Sus scrofa: one gene and its partners. The protein of the gene in region 1 purifies or fractionates together with the protein of each later gene. This does not show direct contact. Links are inferred from orthologs where the notes say so. Each region holds a gene or a part of one and is shown in the gene's direction. Other genes may lie near its edges. The genes, in order: SPAG9, RCCD1 and PLK1.

Evidence for each region.
Region 2: the proteins of SPAG9 (region 1) and RCCD1 purify together in Homo sapiens (affinity purification with mass spectrometry; 3 studies listed by BioGRID and IntAct, counting the BioPlex papers as one, with this or other methods). This does not show direct contact. The link is inferred for Sus scrofa from reciprocal best matches to the Homo sapiens genes SPAG9 and RCCD1.
Region 3: the proteins of SPAG9 (region 1) and PLK1 purify together in Homo sapiens (affinity purification with mass spectrometry; 7 studies listed by BioGRID and IntAct, counting the BioPlex papers as one, with this or other methods). This does not show direct contact. The link is inferred for Sus scrofa from reciprocal best matches to the Homo sapiens genes SPAG9 and PLK1.

The regions. Positions count from the first base shown.
Region 1 is NC_010454.4:27,367,427-27,371,714, reverse strand, and holds the start of SPAG9 (C-Jun-amino-terminal kinase-interacting protein 4), read left to right. Parts: upstream 1-1,450; 5' UTR 1,451-1,647; coding exon 1,648-1,950; intron 1,951-4,288. UniProt on the Homo sapiens protein: The JNK-interacting protein (JIP) group of scaffold proteins selectively mediates JNK signaling by aggregating specific components of the MAPK cascade to form a functional JNK signaling module.
Region 2 is NC_010449.5:53,553,493-53,557,137, forward strand, and holds part of RCCD1 (RCC1 domain-containing protein 1), read left to right. Parts: intron 1-1,098; coding exon 1,099-1,269; exon of another isoform or gene 1,270-1,856; intron 1,857-2,242; coding exon 2,243-2,272; intron 2,273-2,848; coding exon 2,849-3,009; 3' UTR 3,010-3,645. UniProt on the Homo sapiens protein: Plays a role in transcriptional repression of satellite repeats, possibly by regulating H3K36 methylation levels in centromeric regions together with KDM8.
Region 3 is NC_010445.4:22,544,384-22,548,028, reverse strand, and holds part of PLK1 (serine/threonine-protein kinase PLK1), read left to right. Parts: intron 1-824; coding exon 825-969; intron 970-1,900; coding exon 1,901-1,994; intron 1,995-3,645. UniProt on the Homo sapiens protein: Serine/threonine-protein kinase that performs several important functions throughout M phase of the cell cycle, including the regulation of centrosome maturation and spindle assembly, the removal of cohesins from chromosome arms, the inactivation of anaphase-promoting complex/cyclosome (APC/C) inhibitors, and the regulation of mitotic exit and cytokinesis.

The DNA.
Region 1 (4,288 bases):
CTTAGTATCTTCATTTTTGTCATTTTGAGTTTATAGCTTGGCCTGTGAGGATGTTGCTCTGGAGTCCTTAAACCACAAATGTTAATCAATAGCCATATCAAAGAATGCATCAAAGCTCATGCGCCTATGCTGACTACTTGAGTTAGTATTCTGCCTCAACACGTCGGAACTCCAGGCTTAGTATCTTCATTTTTGTCATTTTGAGTTTATAGCTTAGCTAACCTCCTTACTGCTTTTGTGAGTCTCCAAGTGGGTCTAAATTTGGGAAACTTTGGAGAACTAGTTTGTGCTTGATGGGGAGAACTTGAACTTTAAATACCAAGTTGAGGGTATTTATGATCCCGAGAGGTAGCTGACTCCAGCGCTAAACCATTCTTTATCCAAGTTCTGCCAGCCCTACCCTATTCTTAGAGTAGAGGCCAGAGAACTTCTGAGTGACCTCCCCTGGAGATAAGGGGTTTTAAGAGTGTCTTCTACATTTGCGGAGGCTAAAAGAAGCACTGGGAAGTGATCCTTAACTCAGCCCTCCAGGGGTTTGGGTGTTGTGTCATTCCCCACACGTGATTCTTTACCAGGTGGTGGAAACCTCAAGTATAACAGGACTTACTCACTTCAGTGACTCCACCTCTTTCCTCTTCCACTCCCCAACCCCCTATTAGCCCGCCCCACCCCACTTCCTCAAGATTAGAGGAAAGGCGGGTGGCTGGAGCCAGGAAATGCCATGCTCCCAAGCTGGCCAGGAGAGGCAGAGAAAATTGTGTACGGGAAAGTGCAAGATGTGGTGTTCCAGTTTTATTCATCTCCAGGATGCCGCGCATGTCTTATGTTTAAGTTTTTCCTTAATCTACTTTTCCCCAAATAATTCTATCCTACTCAAGACCACCTTATCACTGAGGCAGACCTCGTCTCATTTAAGGTTGCTTTCTCTCTCTCTCTCTCTCTCTGTTTTCCACTTCTCTAGGTCGGGACTTCTCAGACATAATTGGTTTGAATCCCAGATTATCCTCCTTCCCGTTCTAGCTGTGTGACCTTGAGTGAACCCTAACTTTTCAGGGCCTACTTTCCTTGTCTGTGAAACGAAGGCCAAACTTCTACAGCACTAAGCCTGCTGTGAAGAACAAACGAGAAAACCCTCTATGAGCTGCAAAAAGTAATAAAATGTTAGCTATGCTAATTCTGGACTGCTAGTCACTCTTCCAGAACCCCTCCCTTTCCTCTGGGATTCGCCCAGCAAACCCCGCCCGGGGCAGCAGTTCTCGCCATCCTCTCTCGCAGACTTTCCCATTGGCGTACCAACGTCGCGCGGCGCCGAGTGTTGACGCCACGCCGCCTCCGCCGGCGCATAGTGACGCATTCGGCCCCGCCCCCGGCCTCGCCCGGCCTCCCGCGGGGCCCCGCCCTACAGGCCGACGCGGCGCGGGTACCGCCCCACGAGTGACGTGTGGCGCGCGCGGCCCGGCCGCCCCGGCAGTTGGTGCAGCGGCGGTTGGGCTGAGTGCGCTCGCCTCACCCCTCCCCTCCTACGGCCCCGGCCCCCACCCCGCCGGGCCCAGCCCCAGCCCTAGCTCCAGCGGCCCGTCCCGTACGGGCCCGAGTCGCTCCTTCAGCCGGTGACGCCCCGGGCAGGCAGGCCGCCCGCCCGCAACCATGGAGCTGGAGGACGGTGTGGTGTACCAGGAGGAGCCCGGTGGTTCCGGGGCCGTGATGTCTGAGAGGGTGTCCGGCCTGGCCGGCTCCATCTACCGCGAGTTCGAGAGGCTCATCGGGCGCTACGACGAGGAGGTGGTCAAGGAGCTGATGCCACTGGTGGTGGCCGTGCTGGAGAACCTGGACTCGGTGTTCGCGCAGGATCAGGAGCACCAGGTGGAGCTGGAGCTGCTGCGGGACGACAACGAGCAGCTTATCACCCAGTACGAGCGAGAGAAGGCGCTGCGCAAGCACGCTGAGGAGGTGAGGGCCGGCCGGCGGGGAGGGCGAGGGCTGGGCCTGAGGGCGGGCCGGGGTCACGGGTCTGTCCCGGGAGGAGAGGAGCGCCGCGCAGGTCTCCTGGGGGCGGGCCTGAGGCCGAGGCCCACCTGACTGAGCCCGGAGGCCGTGAGGTCGCGGAACCACCGGCCGGGTTTGGACCCTGAGGCAGGCTAGTGAGTGTCCAGAAGAGGGTGAGATGGGGGAGGAAGCCAGAGCCTGGCTTGAGGGCACCTCGGGTTGGCTGAGAGAGGAGTTTAGGGTGTCCGCTTGCCTGTTGTTTAGGGAAGTTTCCGACCACCGTGTGAGATAGACGGCGATTCAAACTTTTACCGTGGGCTGGGGAAGGGGGGCATTTAAACACTTCTGTCCTCAGTAACTTCCGCTGATTCCAGTACCTTTCCTGGGGGTTGCTGTTTTGGGAAGTTAGAGATCTCCCTCTTTCGGTCAGTTTCTTATTGACGTTTTAACCCTGTTGAGAAGGAGGGGTTTTTTTTGTTTTGTTTTATGTACCATGGTTGACACTTTGTCAACACTTAGATGTTGTATAGCAATACTCTAAATATAGAGAGTGTGCATTTTTATTTTATTGGTAGCCCACATCAAAGTATTCCTTCCTGTCAGGTGGTAACCTTGGACAGTTCCCTTTAAAAACTGATAAAGAGGATGGGAGCGCGGTGGGAGGCGGGTTGGAGGTGTAGATGACATCTGGCAACCCTTTTCATAGACTGCAGTTTACAGGTGCACTTGGCTGCCTTCTAACTTTTGCGCCTCAGCGGTGTGACCCCGGTGCCCTCATCTTGTGAACCTTTTGGATTTCTGGACTGCCAGTGGTACGAAGACATCTTCGTACCAAGATGTCTTTGACATCTTGAGACAGTTTAAGCATTTTAGTTTTCAGGCTGTGTTGGCGTTATTTCTCTGGAACTTAGTAGTTAATGCAGATGAAGTTAATCATCCTTGTTTCCTGAGCATCTAGCACAACTGGCTAAATACATGGTAATTGAAGGAAGCTAAATAATTATTGAGAGAATGACTTGAAGAAATGAAAGACAACAAAATATTTTCAGAAATATTTGAAAAACTTTAAGGATGTGAGATCTGTTTAGTAGCTAATTTCCTAACACTAAATAGTACAACCATGTAGACTTTTTGTCACATACGCCTTCGTACCAGGTCAGCTAGTTTTTTTCTTTTTTCTTAGGTTTGTATGATGATTTTTAGTTCTGATTTTGTGATCCATTTGTCTCACAGGATTGCCATTGAATTTGCCAAGGAAAATTTGCTTTATTTCAGGAGCATTTCCAAGTATATAGGGAAGAAGGTGTTGAAAAACAATCTAAGGATAGAATCACAATTTCCAGTAATTTATTAGCACTGTTTATGGCAGAGTTCATATACTCCTCATGAAACGACATGCTATATCTTCATGCTCAGACAGGCCCTTGCCAGTGTGTGGATGTACATGGAAAGACAGTGGAATTAACCAAATAAACACACAGGTGAGGAGCAGGCCCAGCATGACCTGTGACCACAGATAAAAGAAATGGATTCCTTCAGCCTTTTTTTTTTTTTTTTTTTCTTTTGTCTTTTTTAGGGTTGTACCCGCAGCATATGGAGGTTCTAAGGCTAGGGGTCTAATCAGAGCTGTAGCTGCCGGCCTAAGCCACAGCCACAGCAACGCCAGATCTGAGCCGTGCCTGTGACCTACACCACAGCTCACAGCAACACCAGATACTTGACCTACTGAGAGAAGCCAGGGATTGAACTCGAAACCTCATGGTTCCTAGTCGGATTTGTTTCTGCTGCACCACGATGGGAATTCCATCCCTTCAGCTTTAAACTCCTGTCAGTTCATGTAAACATGGGCAAAATGCCAGGGTCACACGTGCCAGGAAAACCATTTGCTACAGGTTGCGGAATCAGAGGATAAACTGACTGAGCTGCTAGACTGTGGACTATATATTAATTTCTTAAGTAAATAACTTATGGGGTTGTGGGATGGAAATCCTATAAAACTGGATTGTGATGATCATTGTACGACTATAAATGTAATAAATTCATTGAGTAATAAAAAAAAAGAAAAAATTAAGTAAATGACTTAAAAAGAAGATTATCCTGGAGTTCCTTGTGGTGCAGCAGATTAAGGATCTGGTGGTGTCACTGTAGCAGCTATGGTCACTACTCTGGCATGTATTCCATCCCTGGCCCAGGAACTGCCACATGCCATGGGCATGGCTTAAAAAAGAATAAAAATAGATTACCCAAAGACTTTATTTATAATTTATGCTTTTTCAAATACATCTATAAATCCTTTATAATG
Region 2 (3,645 bases), on another chromosome or scaffold:
TTCTTTTCCATTATGGTTTATCACAGGATATTAAATATAGTTCCCTATGCTATACAGTAGAACCCTGTGTCCTCATTCTATACATAACAGTTTATATCTGCGAATCCCAAACTCCCAGTGCATCCTTACTCCCCCAGCCCCCTGCCCCCTGGCTACCACAAGTCTGTTGGTGAGGGTCAGTTCTTTTTTTTTAGTTTTTAAAGTTTATTTTAAATGATTTTTATTTTTTCTCAGTACAGCTGGTTTACAGTGTTCTGTCAGTTTTCTACTGCACAGCAAGATGACCCAGTCACACATAAATATATATATTCTTTTTTCTCCCATTATCATGCTCCATCATAAGTGACTAGATATAGTTCCCAGTGCTACACAGCAGGATCTCATTGCTTATCCATTCCAGAGGCAATATTTTGCATCTGTTAACCCCAAATTCCCAGTCCATCCCACTCCCTCCCCTCCCCCTTGGCAACCACAGAGTGTCAGTTCTTTTTTTTTTTTTTTTTTTTTTTTTTTGGCTTTTTTGGGCCACATCTGCAGCATATGGATGTTCCCAGGCTAGGGGTTGAATCAGAGCTGCAGCTGCCAGCCTACGCCACAGCAACCCAGGATCCAAGCTGCATCTTCAACCTATATCACAGCTCACGGCAGTGCCAGATCCCTGACCCACTGAGCGAGGCCAGGAATCAAATCCACATCCTCATGAATATTAGTTGGATGCATTTCTGCTGCGCCACAGTGGGAACTCCGAGGGTCACACATGTACCTGTCATTCCTGACTCCTGGCTATTTTCTGGCCTGAGAACTACACAGTGCTTGGAAGGGGTGTGTCACATCCTCAGGACCCCAGGACACACTGAAGGTCTCTGAGCCCCTTATGAGAGGGATCATGGCAAGGCTAATGCCAGTGCCAGTGCTACATGCTCCACAAACCTGTCAACTCCAGCGCTTCCTGGGAAATGTGGGGTCGGGAGCGATGGCCTTCAAGCCAGAGTATGTGCTTCAGCTGTTGTACAGAGTTGGTGTATGAATGAGGTTTAGATTGGTGCTCAGTGAGTGTTCACCATCGTTATCCTCATCACTCTTACTGCTTCTCTGAAGCCCCAGGACTGAACGAAGATGGTTCTGAAGCAAAGAGAGCCACAGAGGGTGAGGATGGAGGCCCCACCCCCTTCATAGCTGTCCAGCCCTTCCCGGCCCTGCTGGATCTCCCCCTCGGCTCAGATGCGGTCAAGGCCAGCTGTGGATCCCGGCACACAGCGGTGGTGACAAGTGAGTGGGGCTGGGTAGGCTGGTTCAGGATGGTCCAGAGGTCCCTTCACCCCAACTCTCTGACTAGTAGCTGCAGAAAAGGGTGGCGATTGCCTAAAAAATGACCATTTTTTTTTCTGCCACATTCATAGCATGTGGAAGTTCCTGGCCAGGGATCACACCTTCACCACAATTGTGACCTGTGCCTCACCTACGACAATGCAGATGCTTAACCCACAGCACCACATGGGAACGTCCTAAAAACTACCATTTTAGGTGTCTTTGGCATGTACTGAGTAGCTACCTCACTGACTACACCCCCATGTGGCTCTAACAGTGGCTCCCCAGCCCATCAGTCCTCGAAGGTTCTTCTTTCTGGAGGGAGGCTCGTGTTTGCCTATCTTTCTTCTGACAGTAGGGCCTGCCCCGCCCTGCCCTGCTTCTAAGGCTCCTGAACGTCGTAGCTGTGAGTTGCAGGCCAATCAGCCAACTAGGAACCATGAGGTGTAGAGCAAGGAGAAGCTTTTCAGTCTGGATCCTCTGCCACATCAAATGCAACTAGATAGCTGTCAAAAAGAGAGAGGAGGAGTTCCCGTCGTAGTGCCAAGGTAACAATCCCTATTAGTATCCATGAGGACTCAGGTTCCATCTCTGGCCTCACTCAGTGGAATAAGAATGAGGTACTGCCTTGAGCTGTGGTGTAGGTCGCGGATGCAGCTTGGATCCTGCGTTGCTGTGTCTGTGGTGTAGGCCGGCAGCTGTAGCTCTGATTTGACCCCTCGCCTGGGAACCTCCATGTGCCTCAGGTGGAGCCCTTAAAAAACCAAAAAAAAAAAAAGAAAAACCAAAAAAGAGAGAGAGGACGTGTTGTGCTATGCAAAGCGAATCTCATGACAACTGTAAAGTGCTGGCTGTGGGTTGTGGCAGGCTGGGCAGGACAAATGCGTTATTGAAGAGCAGGGGCAATGGCCTCTTACTGTCCTTTTGGTTACAGGAACGGGCGAGCTCTACACCTGGGGCTGGGGTAAGTAAAGGACTTGCTTTTGTGATGCTTCAACCAAGGGGAGAAAAGACCCGGGAGCAGAGGGCAGGTGACAAGAGCCATGCAGACCAGTGGAAGCATATGCCCTCGGCCTGACAAACCACTGGGAAGACAGGGACTGAAAAGCTGCCTGTTCCCTTCTCTGGAAGGGATCTAGGCACACTCAGAAGGGTACAGACCAGACAAGAGAGAAATAGGAGATATCATTACTTTCCACTTACCTTTCTGAAAAAGTATTATTTCTTAAGGGAATGTTTCTCCAGCATTGAGGAGACCTCTTTTGGTCTGGCACTGGGTAGAGCAAAAGATCACATGAAAAGCTCTGCTCGGAGCATCTGAGCTTTGGGCTGGGGAGCCCGGAGGAGCATTGCCTCTTGGGGACCTGGGAGATTGCCTGGTCCTGGGGCTCTGTGTTTCTGGTCTCCTGAATTCACAGGGCAGACACTAGCAGCGTGGTGGCTTAAGCCCCACACTTCAGTGGATAGTCTGGTTTTCCTTCCTGGGGCCGAAGGCCATGGCCCTGTGGAGAGGATAGCAAAGGGGTTCATTTCCCTTTAGGTAAATATGGACAGCTTGGCCACAAGGACACGACCAGCTTGGATCGGCCCTGCCGTGTGGAGTACTTTGTAGATAAGCAACTCCAAGTCAGGACTGTGAGCTGTGGGCCCTGGAACACCTACGTGTTCGCTGTGGAGAAAGAGAAGAGCCGACATATGTAAATAAGGGCATGAAATCAATGGACAGTAAAGAAGAAGAAAGCTAACACCTGTGAAACTCCTGCCCAGGTCAAGGAAAACCAGGGCCTGCTCTCCAGAGGCCTTGTCTTTGCCCCTCCCTCCCCATCACAGCCCTCTTGCTCCAACTTAGAGCAGTGTCCTCGACTTGGTCCTCAAATTAGAAGCCCCTGGAGATTTGGCAATGGATGCCTAAGGCCAGCATTGCAGACACGGGTGAAATCAGAATTAGACACAGGCAGATGTGAAAGCTGCCCCACCTGACCCCACCCTGGGGGGATTTCTAGGTAGTGCCAAGATGGGGAACTGAGACCAGCTCAGCAGAATGGGGCTGAAGAATGGGTGCTGTGAAACCTAAGGAAAAAAGTTAACATAAAACAAGACACAGAGACATTTTCTTAAGCAAAGGTGGGAACCGGCAGACTCAAGGTCTCAGGGGCCAAGAGCAGCACTGCCTCAAGAAACCACACTGCTTTTATTGTGCTCTTTTATTGTGCTCCTCAAGTGTGGAGGGGGCTATGGGTGGAGGATATAGGGTTTGTTTATTATTATTTTTTGATATAGGGTTTGTTTATTATTGTGTAAGTTCTTTTATTATTTTAAAAGTCACTTAGCTGGTAA
Region 3 (3,645 bases), on another chromosome or scaffold:
GTTGATTGCCTCTAGAATCATCTCATTAGTACAGAAATTTAAAACAAAGAGCCACAAACCAGCATCCCGAATTCGTTTGCACTTTTTTTTTTTGAAATTGATGTAAAAATCTAGATTCAAAGCTCTTTTTAAAAAATTGGGAGCTTCAGCTGTCCAGGGACAGCCTTCCCTCAGGGCAGCTCTTTGCTAGACTGAAAAGCAGCGTGTTCTTTAGACGTCCGGTTTGCCACAGTCCCCACCCCTCCCTATTACTTCATCACAAACTTGCCAAGTAGCAGTCTTCATGTTTATTTGCTTAATCCTGGAAGGCACTTGAGTTTTGCTCTCCCTATCAATTCCCTTTGAAAGGAAGACCTCCTTTCTGAGGGGAGGGGTGAGGTCTCTGGGAGGGTGTCCCCCTGCCCCCCGGCCAGCATGGTGGGAGGATTCCTGGGGAAGCCTTGATGAGAGGCTTGAGGGAACTAACAACCCTGGTACTTTTTGTTTGTTTTTTTAGGGCCACACCCGTGGCACATGGAGGTTCCCAGGCTAGAGGTCTAATCAAAGCTACAGCTGCCAGCCTACACCACAGCCACAGCAAGGCGGGGAGCTAAGCCACATCTGCAACCTACACCACACTTCACGGCGACGCCGGACCCTTAACCCACTGCGTGAGGCCAGGGATCGAACCCACAACGTCACGGTTACTAGTCGGATTTGTTTCCGCTGCCCCACAACGGGAGCTCTGACCTTGGTTCTTGAAGGTTACACCTGAACCAGCCGTCAGCAGTGACAGATGGCAGAGGCTAAAGTCTGAGGTCCCCCTCTTCCTCTCTCTGTCCCAGGGGATTTTGGACTGGCAACCAAAGTCGAGTATGACGGGGAACGGAAGAAGACCCTGTGCGGGACTCCTAATTACATAGCTCCTGAGGTGCTGAGCAAGAAAGGACACAGTTTCGAGGTGGACGTGTGGTCTATTGGGTGCATCATGTAAGTTGGGACTTGTCTTCAGGACCCACCCTCGACATCTCCCCCAGCAGACCTTAATCCTGTAGACCTTTCTGCCTGTGGAAAGGCTGCTCCACAGGACACACTGCCACCAAGGAAGCCTCGTTTCTGTATCTTTTTTTTCTCCCTGATGTTTCCTGATTCCTGTAGCCTGGGCTGCAGGTCCAGGGAATGGAGGAGGGAAGGTCGCCACAAACTCACTTCAGTCACTTGCCATTCAGAGTCTGGCAGACCAGCCAGCAGCAGCATCTAGGAACTTGTTAGAAACACAGAATCTCAGGACCCAGGCTTTTAAGACCCTTGAGTGATTTCCTTGCACAGTAAAGTATTAAAACCTCCCATCTAGAAAGAAGCATTGGGTGCGAGGAATGAGGCCAGGAGTTACAGCTGGCGGCAGGAGGGCTTGCCACCTGTCTGGGTCAGGGCCGTCAGAGGTGGGTGAGTGGAGGGCAGAGTAGGGCCTGTTCAGGTGGTAGCCCTTTCGATGCTGCTCTGGGTCCTGGAGAGTTAGAAATGAGTTGCAGCGATGGCTTTCCTACTTCTTTGCAGTGGGAGTTTTTCAAATGAAAGCTTGTAGCCTTGAGTATGAGAAGTATTAACTGTGGAGCTGCCTCTGTAGGAGCAGCTGGCCCACCTGCTTTGACCTGTTGTGTGTTGGCTGGCGGCCTCTGGGGCCCTAGATTACTGCAGGCTCGAGCCAGAAAGTCACCCACCCATGAGAACCCAGTCTCATCACCTCTATTCTACTGACTCCCCACACCCCCCATGCCCGTGGACTTTCGGGCTGCCCTCTGGGGCCCCAGGGTCCTAGTGAGTGTCCAGAGGATGTCTGACTTTCTGGCCCCAAGATGATTCCTCCTGCATCTGGGTTTTGGGTGGGCGCCTTGAGCCAAATCCCTCCTTGTGCTTACAGGTATACCTTGTTAGTGGGCAAGCCACCCTTTGAGACCTCTTGCCTTAAAGAGACCTACCTCCGGATCAAGAAGAATGAGTACAGTATTCCCAAGGTGACTGAAAACGCTTTTTTTTTTGTTTGTTTGTTTTTTGGGGGTTTTTTGTCTTTTTTTATTGTTGTTGTTGTTGTTGTTGTTGCTATTTCTTGGGCTGCTCCCACGGCATATGGAGGTTCCCAGGCTAGGGGTCGAATCGGAGCTGTAGCCACCGGCCTACGCCAGAGCCACAGCAACGCGGGATCCGAGCCGCGTCTGCAACCTACACCACAGCTCACGGCAACGCCGGATCGTTAACCCACTGAGCAAGGGCAGGGACCGAACCCGCAACCTCATGGTTCCTAGTCAAGATTCGTTAACCACTGCGCCACAACAGGAACTCCTGAAAACGCTTTTAAGTTTACATTTATTTTAAGTCTTACCTCCCCCCTCCATCCCAAGCTATTTACTGAACCCCGCATATCCTGAGGACAGAGGTAGGTCAGTCCCACCCTTAGGATTCCCACAAGAGTTTTGGGGGTCCTTATCTGAAATTGTATCCAGAATCTGACATTTGTGCACAAAAGCATTTTGGGGGGTTGGGGAGAGCATTTGTAGGTTCTCAAAGGTTGGGCAGATAACCCAAAAGATATGTAAAATAAAAAGAGAGTGAGGAGTTCCTGTCGTGGCTCAGTAGAAATGAATCTGGGAGTTCCCGTCGTGGCGCAGTGGTTAACGAATCCGACTAGGAACCATGAGGTTGCGGGTTCGGTCCCTGCCCTTGCTCAGTGGGTTAACGATCCGGCGTTGCCGTGAGCTGTGGTGTAGGTTGCAGACGCTGCTCGGATCCTGCGTTGCTGTGGCTCTGGCGTAGGCCGGTGGCTACAGCTCCGATTGGACCCCTAGCCTGGGAACCTCCATATGCCGCAGGAGCGGCCCAAGAAATAGCAAAAAGACAAAAAAAAAAAAGAAAAGAAATGAATCTGACTAGCGTCCATGAGGACGCAGGTTCGACACCTGGCCTCGATCAGTGGGTTAAGGATCCTGAGTTGCCATGAGCTGTGGTGTAGGCAGCAGACTCTGCTTGGATCCCGCATTGCTGTGGCCATGGTGTAGGCCGGCAGCTACAGCTCCAATTCCACCCCTAGCCTGGGAACCTCCATATGCTGTAGGTGCGGCCCTAAAAAAAAAAGAGAGAGAGAGGAGGGAGTAGGAGGCAGACAGAGAAGCGCTGCTTAAGCCTTGGAAGTGGGCCATCTTGATTCAGATGGTCTCTGCCACTTAGCAGCCCGAACACAATGAGCCCCTAGCCCAGAGCACCTCGTGTCAATAAGTGCTCACAGAGTCACGAACCGCTATGCGTGCAGAGTGGGGTGCTTTTGCAGCCACCAGCTTGAGCACATTGAGAGGGACAGGCTGCAGCAGCCAGGCACACCGCCGCTTTCCTGTTTGGTATCTTTGCCTTGTGTGTGAAGCCAAGAGCCCTATCTCCATAAGGACAGACGGACTGAATCTGTCACCAAGGGTCAGTCATTGAACAGAGCACAGAGTGGTTCCGAGCGTGGGTGCTGGAGCTGCCTGTGCCTCGGTGTGGGTGCTGGCTCCATCGCTTACTAGGGGTGTATTCTAAGGCACTTCACCCCTCTGTGCCTCGGTTTCCTCATCTGCACAAGGGGGGAGTTACAGAGATCTTTCTTTGCACCTTTGGCGCTTCTGTGGGGACTAAATG